Arabidopsis thaliana: one gene and its partner. The protein of the gene in region 2 interacts with the protein of the main gene of each other region in a pairwise test. Each region holds a gene or a part of one and is shown on either strand. Other genes may lie near its edges. The genes, in order: AT1G23100 and AT1G52695.

What was found.
Region 1: the proteins of AT1G52695 (region 2) and AT1G23100 interact in a two-hybrid assay, tested with the Arabidopsis thaliana proteins (one large-scale study listed by BioGRID).

Annotation. Positions count from the first base shown.
Region 1 is NC_003070.9:8,192,022-8,198,179, forward strand, and holds AT1G23100 (GroES-like family protein), read left to right. Parts: upstream 1-3,754; 5' UTR 3,755-3,845; coding exon 3,846-3,950; intron 3,951-4,035; coding exon 4,036-4,175; intron 4,176-4,266; coding exon 4,267-4,315; 3' UTR 4,316-4,454; downstream 4,455-6,158. Other genes in the region: AT1G23110 (fold protein), read right to left, coding at 4,587-4,892, 4,972-5,110, 5,178-5,256, 5,343-5,398, 5,478-5,644.
Region 2 is NC_003070.9:19,619,391-19,627,131, reverse strand, and holds AT1G52695 (alpha/beta-Hydrolases superfamily protein), read left to right. Parts: upstream 1-3,670; 5' UTR 3,671-3,743; coding exon 3,744-3,753; intron 3,754-3,879; coding exon 3,880-3,991; intron 3,992-4,434; coding exon 4,435-4,471; intron 4,472-4,574; coding exon 4,575-4,644; intron 4,645-4,773; coding exon 4,774-4,878; intron 4,879-5,019; coding exon 5,020-5,152; intron 5,153-5,248; coding exon 5,249-5,334; intron 5,335-5,482; coding exon 5,483-5,573; intron 5,574-5,597; exon of another isoform or gene 5,598-5,618; intron 5,619-5,669; coding exon 5,670-5,721; 3' UTR 5,722-5,894; downstream 5,895-7,741. Other genes in the region: LEA7 (Late embryogenesis abundant protein (LEA) family protein), read right to left, coding at 6,543-6,995, 7,234-7,290.

The DNA of each region.
Region 1 (6,158 bases), about 11 Mb from region 2:
CGTCACATGGGAGGGCAGTGAACACGAAGTCAAATAATACAAGTAAATGAATATTATAAATGGTATGGATACTGGTAGGCCAAATCGAATTAAAATATTGAAAAAGAATATCATAAGAAAGAAACAAAAGGGAAAAGTAACGGGACATGAATGGAGTTATTCATAGAAAAAGGATCTGATACCCAACTCTTTTGGAATGTATGCACATTGCGCACTTGTTAATGTATTCGCGTGGCTCTATTTTGTTGACCCATCTATCCACATTTTTGAGTTTAAATTTTCTTGATATATTATAGGTTTGATTCTAAAAATTAGGTATAAGAAATTAGAGGTTTTTCATATTTTTATAAGCTGCGAATTAAACCATAATTAAATTAGTGTTAATGATATAAATATTAGCTCAAAGATACATAAAATGTTCATGTATGTAATGAATAAAAAAAATTGCATTTAACAACCCATGTTTCAGACATGACATGACACATGAATCTCTTGGCTTTCCACTAGACAAGTCATCGACTTTTTTAGGAATCTATAGTATTCGAATTTAATAATATATAGAGAAATAAGGAGATCATCTTGTATAGTGCAATCAATAAAGATATTTTATAGTGGTCACAAATTACCTTAATTTTTTTAAATAACACTAATTTAGAAAAGGATGTATATCTATTCAAAACTCTAAACTTAGGGTTTCACATGGTGATTTAGGAATGCACACAAAAATTAGGCACATAAAGAGCCTGAAATTTCTTGCGTTGAGAAAACGAGAAGTAGAAAATGAAACTTATTCACGTTGTTTTACCTTGACTGGACCCAATAAATATTTGTTGAATGACCACACTAAAAGACGACGTAAAAACCACCCTATTAACCGTACTGCATTGCTAGCTTGTAGAGTCGTAGACCATATAACATATAATGACAAAAACAAATTTTTAACCTCTTTGTTTTTAATTGTCAAACTAACAAAGTGTAGCTTAGAATCTAATTAGCAGAATATATATATATATATATATATATATATACATCATTTTACAAAATTATGCATTCAACATAATAAATTAGTAATAGCAATTATTAATGAAAATAAATTAGAATAATATATAGACAAGATGGTAAATTAATGTTTAGTAATAAACTAAATAAATGGATAGAGTTTCACAACCAGTCAAACTCAATCTTCTTAATTATATAAGAAGAAGAAAGAAGGCTAATTATGATGGAATGGCCATTTTTGAATGATTCAACTGGGTTTATATATATTTGTATAGGCATATAGCCAATGCTTTTTTTGATAACTTTTGAGCTAAAGGTGATAGATATTTGATAATTTGCTTGGCATATTAGCACATGTAAGAAGATAATCAAAATGTTGAATTAAATTTTGAAGGAAAATGAGAAGGTGGGACAAAGGCGGCAAATGTCGAATGAGACAATGTGTTATCTTAAGTCTGAATTAACGCTGATTAGCAAATATTCAAATAAGTGTGAAAAAAGGAAGAGGTCAATATCCATTTCCTTGCAAGTTGCAACCATACAATCTGACCGGTGTGACCCAATTGTCCAATAGTAAAATATATAGGTCCCTAAAAATAATAATGCGACTTGAGATAGTGACGACTGACAAGAACGGTCCTCCGATTTTATTATTTCAACCTTCTTTCAACCCCTATTCGGAACCAACTTGATAGTACATCAAACCACTTATACGGATTTGTCTTTGATATGTTTTTTTGGTTTTTGCATTATCGTGATGTGTTGATGCAATTTTGGTTTTTGTTTGTTAGCATCACGTTCTTATCTTCATGAAAATATACGTAACTGTGACCGAAAAGAGCTGTACGTGGGTTTCATCCAAAATGTGATCAAGTCCTAACACTTTTTTTCTTTCTTTTTTTCTGTTGTTGACTTCTACTATAGAACATTATACTTAAGAATTTAGATGCTGTATTTTTCTTTTCATATCTTCTACTACATATAAACTGTACATATACAACCTAAATCGTCAAACCAATCTACCCACAATCATAACAAATAAGCACGAACTCAAATGGTCTTAAGTGAAACATGACATAGACTTATATACTAGCGTGGCACCTCAAGAAAGAACTTCAAACCCACCAATGATTAAAACTTGGCTCTTGTCCTATTAGGCTTCGTGAATGATCTCCTCCTAATCTTCCAAAGTAAAAAGGTCGGTGCACGATGCAAGGCTTGTAATGTTCTCTTTGAATTTATGGTGAGATTCGATACGATGTTAGTGTCAAGATCCCCTTTTTTCTTTTAGACTCTTGCTTGGATGATAATTAAGGTGAATATTTATGCTATAGTGCCTATCCATTTCTTCATCATTGTCACGAGATCTAAAACCCATACTTATTATACTTTAGGGACCTCCTAAAAGACACATTGAGCTTTTGATCGCGTGTTGCTTTGTTATCATCTTTGCCCACTTTAGGGACCTCCAAGTGTCAGAATTTTTCTTTTGAATAGTTAGAGGTTTCTTATCAAAACAAAAAAACAAGAATAGTTAGAGGTTTTGACCCCAAAAGAGAAAGAATAGTTAGAGGTAGGGACATTCAATACAATTTTTCGTTTAAGCTCTTTAGTTTTGAAATTTCAAGATGGATATAAAGTTGAATGTACTTTTGGATAAGTTTAACACGGTTTGGATTTTTTCGTTTCAATATTTTTGAATCATTATTTTCCAATTGGTTGTCAATTCATTTAATTTAGAGCTGACCTAGAGATATCACTATGTAATAAAGTAATTGTTCTATTCAAAATTGTTAGCTCAAACCTATGTGGTCTAAAATGTTTTGCATACGTGCATTATTTTTCCACAAACTTTTCCATCGATTTAGACATCAATGGTCTGCTGAATGTTGACGACATCTAGTTTTATATTTGTATTCAATGTCTATTTTTTGAAACGAACCCGCAACCACAACATTGAGTATTCGAAGTATTTTTTTTTTAACTGTAAACCCAAACGCAAAACTCATGAAATATTTTTACCGGCTGAGCAAACTATTATCCATATTTAAATAAATTTTAGATGTTGAGAGCTGATCTCGGATTGCGTCACTAATGGCAACAATGATTTACACTTTCACGTTTGGGAGCTTCAATTGGCAATCGAATAAGCTTGACTCTTTGTAGTTCAGTATGGAGATACAAAAACAGTTATATTTTGCTAGTCAAGCAAGTTCCACAAAATAAGCTTTTTGTATCTCCGACTTAATATTTTCACGTTTGGGAGCTCAAACCTATGTCTTCTTCCGCCAAGGCATGTTCCTACCATTGATTATATTTTGTTTTGTGGCTTTCTTTTGTAATATGATCATTTTCGTAAATTTCGATTTTTGTTATCTATTCGTAGTGTCTCCGTTTTTCTTATAAAAAGAACAAAAATGGAAGATTATAAAAAAATGAAGTGGTTTTATGATATGACGTGATGTTTAGTAAAATAACGTTTTATCGAACGGTTTCACAAACACATTGTACATAAATTACTGAACGAGAAATGTTATTTGTCTACATCACGAGTAAAACTTTAATGCATGTCAATACCATTGACCTAATTAATGAAAAATGTTGAATTAATTAATGCATATACCCTACTTTTTATTAACATGAAACGAGTCAAATAAAAAGGGATTGACTCAATAATTTTAGAAATACTGAATGGGCCTGGGCCACGTAAAGTCCAAGTAACCTTAATAACCTAAAAACCCGGAACACCTGTTGTGCTTAAACCCTAGACCCTAAATCTTAGCGAAATTAAGCAGAGCAACATTTTCGTAATCCGATCTCCGTCGTCGTCGTCGAATCAGATAAAAATGGCGAAGCGTTTGATCCCGACTCTCAACCGTGTATTGGTGGAGAAGATTCTCCCACCGTCAAAGACCGTCTCCGGCATTCTCCTACCGGAGAAATCATCTCAGGTAAACGAATTTCTTTAAAATTCTCATCTTTACCCATTTCTTCGATTGGACGAACTAGAAATTTGTTGGATTTGATTAAACACAGTTGAATTCCGGGAGAGTTATAGCAGTTGGTCCTGGAGCTAGAGACAGAGCAGGGAATCTAATTCCGGTTTCGGTTAAGGAAGGAGACAATGTTCTTTTGCCTGAATTTGGCGGTACTCAAGTTAAGCTTGGAGAGAAAGAGTATGTTCTTAACCTGTTCGATGTAATTCCTCTAAGAGTGAAATTTATCAGTATTTTCGATTTCTCACTGTGTGTTTCGTTCTCTTTGCAGGTTCCTATTGTATAGGGATGAAGATATCATGGCTACACTTCACGAGTGATGTGTTAAAGAGATAGAATTTATGATTCCTCTTTGTTTTGTTGTCTGCAATTGTCTGACATTTGGATCAATTGTTATGATTGTTCTTCACTGTTGGCAACAAGTTCTTATAATTCAATAATCTCTTTTGTTTGGGAATGATGATGATCTACTTCTTACATAGAGATTACTGACTATAAGTCTAGAAATGCTTCTTAGTAATGTCGACTGATTAGGAGAAACAGAGAAACCATTTGTTTCACTGTTCTAAGAATAGCAATTTTGGAAATGATCTACTCAAGAAGTTTATTGCATGTTCCAACTCCAATGGCTGCAGCGAGGTGCCAGCCTGCGTGAAGGAAAGGTGTCTCGGGGAAGAAATCATCAGCTATGAACAGAGCACCTCCTAGCAAGGAAGACATCTTGTGTACGTTATGAGCTGTTTTGAGATCTGGATCCTTTAAGCTTCTTTTAGCAAATGCGACCTCCATCATTCCAGTGTGAACGGCAGAGACCATGAGAGGTTGAAAAGGTAGAACTAAAGCTGATGCAGCCATCAGAAATTTTGGGTTCTCATTCCTTAGAGCCCTTGAGAGACACTGTCCACATAACCAGATTTAATCGGTTATATTTGGTTAAAGAAGAATTTGGAGATGGGTTAAGAAGAGTGGAACTTACTATTGTTGTTGTGGCTATCATTGTGTAATCTACCCATCTCAGGTACTTCCTCAACTTTCCCCTAGAGGCATGATACAGACTCGACGCAATTCCAACTCCAATTAGGGAGTTTGCGTACACCTTTGTGTTCAGATTCTTCCTACATGGGATAGTATCTTGTCAGAGAAACTCTACTTGAAATGATATTTGCAAAGAGAACATTTTACCTTGGTGCCTGCATTCCGAGGAAGATGAAAGGAAGTGAAGTAGCCACATTAGCAGCTGTTTCTAAGACACTCTGGTCACCTGTCATATGTTTCGATTGCATAATAAAAAGACCGATCAACCATCTTGAGATTGGAAAGATAAAAGATCGAAAACAAGAAGCGTACCGCGAATGCTGCAACAGATTGGCCTTAAGCATGGAGGTCTTTGCTGCCAAAAACGTCTGTAACAGAGAAACTAAATCAGTAACTGAAACCGTTTCAAAAGCTGAGAATGTCACAACCTAATGTTATGTAACATACTCGATGGAAAGTCTTTGATTTGATTCCATGACAGAGGATTTGGTGTTGGTCTGAAAGTCACTAACTTGAGTTGTCTTCTCAAATGAGAAAGGAGAATGAGACGTGACATGAACCCCGTGGATACCCTCAAGGGCATTGCTCGACTTTGATACATTTTGCAGACTCATGGTAATCTTGCTAAACCACAGACAACCAACATTTATCTATACGCCACCAGAATAATCAAACTACTTTGTTGTCTCCCTTGTTCTGTTCTGATGACAAAAATAAAAATGTATTCATAAATTAAACCATAATAATTGGTCATACATGTGTTTTCCAGAGAGAAATATTGGTTACAAGTCAACACCTAAAATTTGATTGCTGCATGATATGCTGAATTATCAATGACCAGAATTGTATCTGCTTTTTCTCTTTTCCATTTCGTATGAATTTTATGTGAATAAGGGCCACAAAGCATATAGCGTTTCGATAAAATTCAACGGAAAAGCTAAGAAGAAGCAAACACACATAGCTATATTACAGAAAATGATTGCATAGAAAACATGCAAACCTATAGAGAAAGATAGAACCTGAAGCAATGGCCGTAAAAACTCGAAAAGAATTGTTGGAGAAGAAATGCTATAAAGAGAGAGAGAGAAGGAACGAGGAGAACTAAGCAGAGAGAATCAGAGTCAGAGA
Region 2 (7,741 bases):
ATAAAATGACAAATTCTGATTTTGTTTTAATAGATTTTTATATCATCTTTTGTTAACATTATCTGAATTAGTTAAGGTGCTATTTAATTTAGGGAAAAGTTTAAAATTAGATAAGAAATATTATATTGTACCAACTACATTTAAACAAAACTAATTAATCATCCAAAGATACAAGTTATAAAACCTTTAATAACAATTTTGATGAAGTGTCAATTATCCTATAGAGGGGGGGGGGGGGGGGGGGGGGGGTTCCCCCTTCGAGTATGATCTATAGATTATTAGATTATGTTACACCCAAATCTGTTTTCTGTTGTTGTGGTTGCGCTTTTCATTTTGTAAGCCAATTAGACAATTACTAAATCAACAAAATATTAGTAATTTTAAAAAATAGATTATGCCTCCATTAATTAAATTGTATTTCACCCAATTAGTATATGATTTTTGCCATCCACCCAACTTTTTAAGGATGAGATTTTGTCAACTTTTAATACTAAGATATTTTATGTCATAAGGCTCCTTTGGTGCTTTAACAAAAAAGAAAGAAAGGAAACACTCATTTCTATTATAAATACACAATACCTTCCCTTGCTTTCTCTTATATCTTTCATCTCTAGTGCAAGTTAAAAACTAGTTCTTCTCACCAAAGCATGGCTTCTAGTATGATTTATTTTCCTTGGTGTAATTGTTTATGTTTCTTCCATAGTTATCTAAGTGTTTGACAATTCTGTAATATGGTTTATGTGTGGAACTCATTAGTGAATTTGCGTATAAATAACTCTTTAAACAGGTAGTAGGAACCAAAGTGGCAGAAAAGTTGGAGAAACTATTTATTACTCTATTCCGCCCACAGGAGTTCATAAAGCCACAATAGTCTGGCTACATGATGTCGGATTCACAGGCCACTGGTAACACTCTCGCGCACATAGTATATATTGTATCTGTTTATTACACACATGATTTGGACGTACTACAACTTTAACTCTTTTCTTGGGTTCTTTTTTTTTTACTAATAATTTGAATCTTGTAGTTCCGCAAATACTTAATTAACCGCTCTATGGTTTTGATCTTTTGTTTGTATATAAATTTTGTAGCGCTGCCAAGAAATGATATTGAGTTCATTTCACTAAAGTTTTATATTTACATTATTATTATTATTACTAAACAAAATGTAATTATTCTCCCTATATATATATATATATGTCTATTATATATGCAGCTCAGTTCCGGCTCTCGAAAGTTTGAGACATCCCAATGTATGGATCTGTTAACATACATGTTTCGCCATGCATGAACTTGATTTCCTTATAGCCAAAATTTAATTTTTTAATTGAAGTTTCTAATCAACATTTATGATTTGGCATAGATAAAATGGATTGTCCCGACTGCTCCTATGCGTCCCGTTACCTCCATAGGCGGGGAGGTAACCACTGCATGTAAGATTAGTTGTTGCTTAAAATTTCAATTGCCAAAAATGATTTGATGTAATAATAGGAATACGAGAACTGAAAACTACTAACATGTTATTTATAAAACCTTTATGATTAATCAGGGTGCGACATGACAAAACCTTCTGAGAACATGCTAGATGATTTTGAAAATTTAAATTATACAAACTCATTTATTACGAGCCTTTTCTCTTCTGAACCAGACCATGGTAATTTCTAAATAATCACTTCTTTTATAAATACACAATTATTTGATTAATATGTTAATTTTGGTTTTGGTAGTTATGAAAGGAGTAGGAGGAATCGGCTTGGGTGCAGCACAAGCTCTATATTATACGAGTTGTTATGCGTTTGGATGGGTTCCCATTAGCCCACAAATTGTTATAAGGATCAATGGTTGGCTTCCTGGCTGGAGGTAGCCTTTTCGAGCTCTTAGTATCACTTTTCACAAATTTTTAAAACTAATAATAATGGAAAACAAAACTCAATCTTGCAGGAGATTAGAATACAATATGTGTAACACTAATTTTGGGACTGCAAATCGTGCTGCAACATCAAATATTTTACTTATGCATGGGACTTGTATGTGAAACAAGTTAAATATAATAGTATTAGATAATAATTGCGATATCATACAAAATAATTAATTCTTTCATATCTTTTTTTGTTATAGCTGATGATGTTATTCCCTCTGCATTTGGATACAAATGTGCTGACTCCCTTCGAATGGCTGGATTTCCAACCTTGTTCAAACAATGCGGAGGGTCTAAACAACGATTACTTTACTTTGTTTTGATTTGATTACAATTTTCATAACACATATTTCTGAATCTGAGTTATACCATGTGTGCAGGGATCATGTAATGAATGAGATCCGTGTTTGGCTCGGAAACCTTGGGCTTTGAGGATATGGTTAAAACATGCATAAAGAAATCAAGAAATTGGGGAGCAAAATTATCGTACAATATATTATAAAATATTTTATTTTAGCTTTTCATTTTTATGTCTATGCTATTCATAATCAATATTTAATGTAATGTTCGTTCGAAAAAAATTATATTTATATGGTCATTTGGTTAAATAAATAAACATGATGATGCGTCGAACTGCTGAATATATATATATATATATATATGTATCATTATAACATATTATTTGAGATTGCAAATAATTACATTTCCTTTATGATGATAACATATTATTTGAGATTGCACACAATTAACATCACAATTCACAATTCTCTCTCTTTTTGGTATACGTTTTCAACATGTATATTTTTCCGTTTTTTTTTTAAATAGCTTATGTATTTCTAAACGCTTTTAAAATATATATATATATATATATATATATATATTAATAAATTCAAATGGGAGAGTTACACACATTAAAAGCTGATGAGAGAGACCTCAATTTAGTTTAAAGGATTAATTGATGACAGGTTCTTTTTCATAAAATGTATTTAAGTTTTCTCATGTGTCAAACTTATAATTATTGATATTAAATCAATTTAGGTTAATATTTCTTGAAAACAAGCAAGTGACTTGGTGGCCTTATTATATTTATATGTGTTTTAATTAATGTTTCCCCAAAAATAAATAAAAATTAACACAAAAAGACGGATTTAGATTTATTAAGATTTTTATATTATATTTTACATACTTTATTAACATTATATCTGAATTATTCAAGGTGCCATTTATTTTAGGTAACAATTTCTAATTAGATAATAAAAATTAATTTATATGAAATAGATTTAAACAAAACTAATTAGTCATTATAAAGTTATAAACTTATAAAACCTTAAAAATAATTTTGATGAGGTGTCAATTTGCCTATAGAGTTTTTTCTTTTCTTTTATTCATAGGATATATAGATGATTGAATTATGTTCCACCTATATATGTTTTAGCTTTTTGCGCTTTTGATTTTGTAAACCAATTAAACATGCAAATACTAAATAAACAAAATATATTATTAAATGTTTTAACTAAATTATGCTTCCAATGAAACTTTTTTATGAAGATTAGTTCTAACTAAATTGTGTTCCACCAAATTTAGTATAGGATTTCTGCCATCTATCCAACTTTTTTAAAGGTGTGATTTTGTCAAATTTTAATACTTAGAGATCTTTTCTGTCATAAAGCTCCTTTGTTTTACAGAAAAAAAGAAGAAGGAAATACTCATTTCTTTTATAAATACGCAATGTCTTGGGTTTCCTTCTCTTCTATCTTTCATCTCTAGTGCAAGTTAAAACCTTCCGAAATAATAATATAAAAAAAAAAAATATTCTCATTAGAGCATGGCTTCTGGTTTGGTTTTTTTCCTCCTTGTGATTATTATCAAAATCGTTTGATAATATTCTCTCAAATATATACTCTCTATGTGTGTGGAACGTAACTCATTAGTGAATTTACGGATAATTACTGTATATGCAGGTAGCATAAACGTAAGTGGCTTGGAATTTGGACAGATTAATACTGTTTACCCCACAGGAATTCATAAAGCTACTATAGTCTGGCTACATGACGTAGGAAACACAGGCTTCAAGTAACATTCTCACATGCTATATTGTTTATCGTTATATATGCTCTTTTGTTTTGAACAATCAAAGATTCTCATTAAAATTAGAAATATGATTTGGAAGTACTTCAACTTTTAAGTTTTTTGTTATTAAACATAAAAATAGATATATACGTACTTTTAAAGTCTTTTAATATGTGAAAAGTTGATTTTTGCCATGATATGCAAATACTAATTTTGTCAGTTCAACATTTTTTTGGATGAACATTTCTTTGTATATATAAAGGTTATGGCGCTGCAAAGAATAATGATTTTTCTCTATTATTTTACATTCCTCTGAACTTTTATTTTCTTGTAAGATATTGAGTTCATTTCACTAAAATTTTACAATATATACATTTTTTTTTTTTTTTTGTATTCGCAATAGACTTCCCATTATATGTATTTTTAACTGTCTATTATGACTGCAGCTCACTTGAGCCTCTGCAAAATTTGCGTCTTCCCAATGTACGCATCCACTAACATACGTATCTTTAATGAACTTAATTTCTTTATAGCCAAAATGAAAACTTAGCTGAAGTTTCTAATCAACACTTATGATTTGGTGTAGATAAAATGGATTTGTCCGACTGCTCCTAGACGTCGTGTTACTTCCTTGGGTGGAGAGATAACCAATGCATGTAAGATTAGCTAGATTAAAAATTTGGAGACATTAAATCATTGAAAATTAATAAGTATTTGATATCTCTAAAATAGTACCAGAATTAGAAAACTAATACTTGACTTCATAAACCTCTATGATGAATCAGGGTGCGACATCGCAAAAGTTTCTGAGAACATGCAAGATGATTTTGGAACTTTAAATTATGTAAATGAATATATTACTAGCCTTTTCTCTAATGAACCACAAAATGGTAATCCTGAAAATATCTACACTTTTTTTTTGGTGATCAAATATATCTACAATTAACATGCATAGTTTATACTATCTACATCAATTATAAATATACACATATATGATTAATTAAGTAATCTGTTAATGTTGGTTTTGGTAGTCATAAAAGGAGTGGCAGGTCTCGGCTTGGGTGCAGCACAAGCTCTTTATTATACGAGTTGTTATGCCTTTGGATGGGTTCCCATAAACCCACAAATTGTTATAGGGATCAATGGTTGGCTTCCTGGCTGGAGGTAGGATCTTGAAGCTCTTATATCACTAGTCACAAAATTTTAAAACTTATATTACATGTACCTTTAAATAATGGAAAATCAAACTCAATTTTGCAGGAGATTAGAATACAATATGAATAATACTAATTTTGGGACCGCAAATCGTGCTGCAGCATCAAAAATCTTAATTCTGCATGGAACGTGTATGTGCAAGAATATATATTATCATCTATATATCTAATTTGTTATCTAGATATATAAGAATCACGAGATCATATATGCTAAAATTTTGTTTTTGTTTTTGCAATAAAGATCCTTGCTAATTAATTATTGAATTTTTTTGTGTCACAGCTGATGATGTAGTTCCCTCTTCATTCGGATACAGATGTGCTGACTCCCTTCGCATGGCTGGATTTCCAACCTTGTTCAAACAATGTGGAGGGTCTAAACATCGATTACTTCACTCTTTTTTTTTTTTTTTTGATTACTATTTTCTTAACATACATCACTGAATTTGAGTTATATACCATGTGTGCAGGGATCATGTAATTAATGAGATCCGTGTCTGGCTCACAAACCTTGGGCTTTGAGGATATGGTTAATTTCTGCATAAAGAAAACAAATGGGGAGCAAAACTATTATCGTACAATATAATAAAGTGTTTAGTTTTGAGCTTTCGTTTTTTGTCTTTGTTATTCATAATCAATAGTTAATGTATTATTCTTCGTTCGAAACCGTTAAAAAGGTGAATTATATTTCTCCATTATATATCTTAGTAAAACAATTTCCTTATCTGACCAGCAAATTCTCAAGGAATCAAAATTGCTTCGGAAATCCTAATACTGGTATGCATAAATCAAATTAACTTTCAAACAAAACTTTGTGAAATTTCCTGAAGTAACAGTATTGAAAACCGTTACCCCCATACGAACGTTACAGAGAAAACTATTTTTTAAAGAAATGATTGAATAAATAATTGAGAAGTAACAGGAATATGTTTTAGTCAAGTGAATAGTGATTAAATTTGACTCCGTCTTCCAGAGTTTGACTCTGTTAAAACGTAATAGAGATGGACTAATAAATTAGGTCGAAAGATGTAAAATAAAATAAAAATAAAAAAAAGTAACGAAAACAAGTGCATGTTGCGAAAATTTATGATGTAAATGTCTTCGTATTAGGCAAAGTTTAAAACGAAAACTTTATAAAATACCAATTATGTAATTTCCGTACTAATCACCCGAAATAACTAGTGTCCAATTTATAAAAGAAAACCATTACATGATAATACGTAGAAGTACATTCAAACCCAATAAACAACAACAAGGATCGGCATAACCTCACGAACGCAACAAACACTAATCAAAGCAAACAAACATGAAAACCACGAACACGAAACAAATATTTATCCTCTTCACTTCCTCTGTGTCTCACGAGTAGTGGTCGTAGTAGTAGTACTTGGAGCTGAAGAAACATGTTCTTTGTTTCCTTCATCAGTGCGAAGCCCTAAAGTGTGCTTCACCGCATCAGTAGCTCCCATAGCCATCTGTTTCACCTGCTCACCGGTCTGGCCCAAGATCCCACTGGTCTTCTCCTTACCTGCTTCTGCAGTCTCTTTGGTATATTCAGCTGCATCGTGTGCCTTGTTCTTGATTGCTTCTCCAGTTTCCGACATGTAGCTTCCTGTCTTGTCTTTGGACTCTTGAGCTCTCTCTTGAGTCGTTTGTGCAGCTTGAGACGTCTTGTCTTTAGCTGACTGAGCTGTTTCATGAGCCTTTTGTTGGGCTGACTGGGCTGTCTCTTGAGTTTTGTCCTTAGCTGCTTGTGTTTTGTCCCCCATCGTTCCCATAGCTTCCCCAGTTTTCTCCTACAGTTCAAGATTGGATTTACATTATAAAAAATACTAATCAGCTTTTTTTTTTTTTTTCTAAAATCAAATAACACGAAACATCACAAAATTGAAAATAATAACTTTCAAACTCATTTTTGTTTTTTCACATACAAACAATAGTTACTTTTTAGGTTTTGTTTAAGTTTCTAAAATTAAATCATTTAATGCTGCTATCCAAAATGTATTATAGTTATGCATATAAATCGTTTAGTACCTGAGCCTTGCCTCTGGTTTCACCAGCTTTGTAACTCTGTTCTTGATGAGACGCCATTTTCACTCTTCGAAGAAATTCGAAACCAAATTTTTCTAAATGATAAAAGCTTTTTTTTTTAGATCTTGTGTTTTTTGTGTGTTTGGAACTGTGAGTTGTCTCCGACTCGTTAGTCAGAGTTATTTATAGCAAGTCTTGGTCGGCGAGAGAACAAGATAGGTGTTGCAGTTTCGCGACAGGTGTGTAGGTACGTGCCCCGATTAGGTTGATGTGACGAAGTTTCGAAACTTGGAGTTATGTGCGAGTGTTAAAGTTAGGTTTCTCGTTTTCATGATGACCTATATCTATGTGACACGTCATGGTAAAAACGGAGCTACGGAAGATGTTAGACACGTGGTGACTCACGTTATCTTGATATTGGATATTCATCTACTCAAGGCATATATTATGCAACCGCCATTACTGCATAGATATTTACTTTTTTCTAAAAAGAACCAATACACAATTCTTA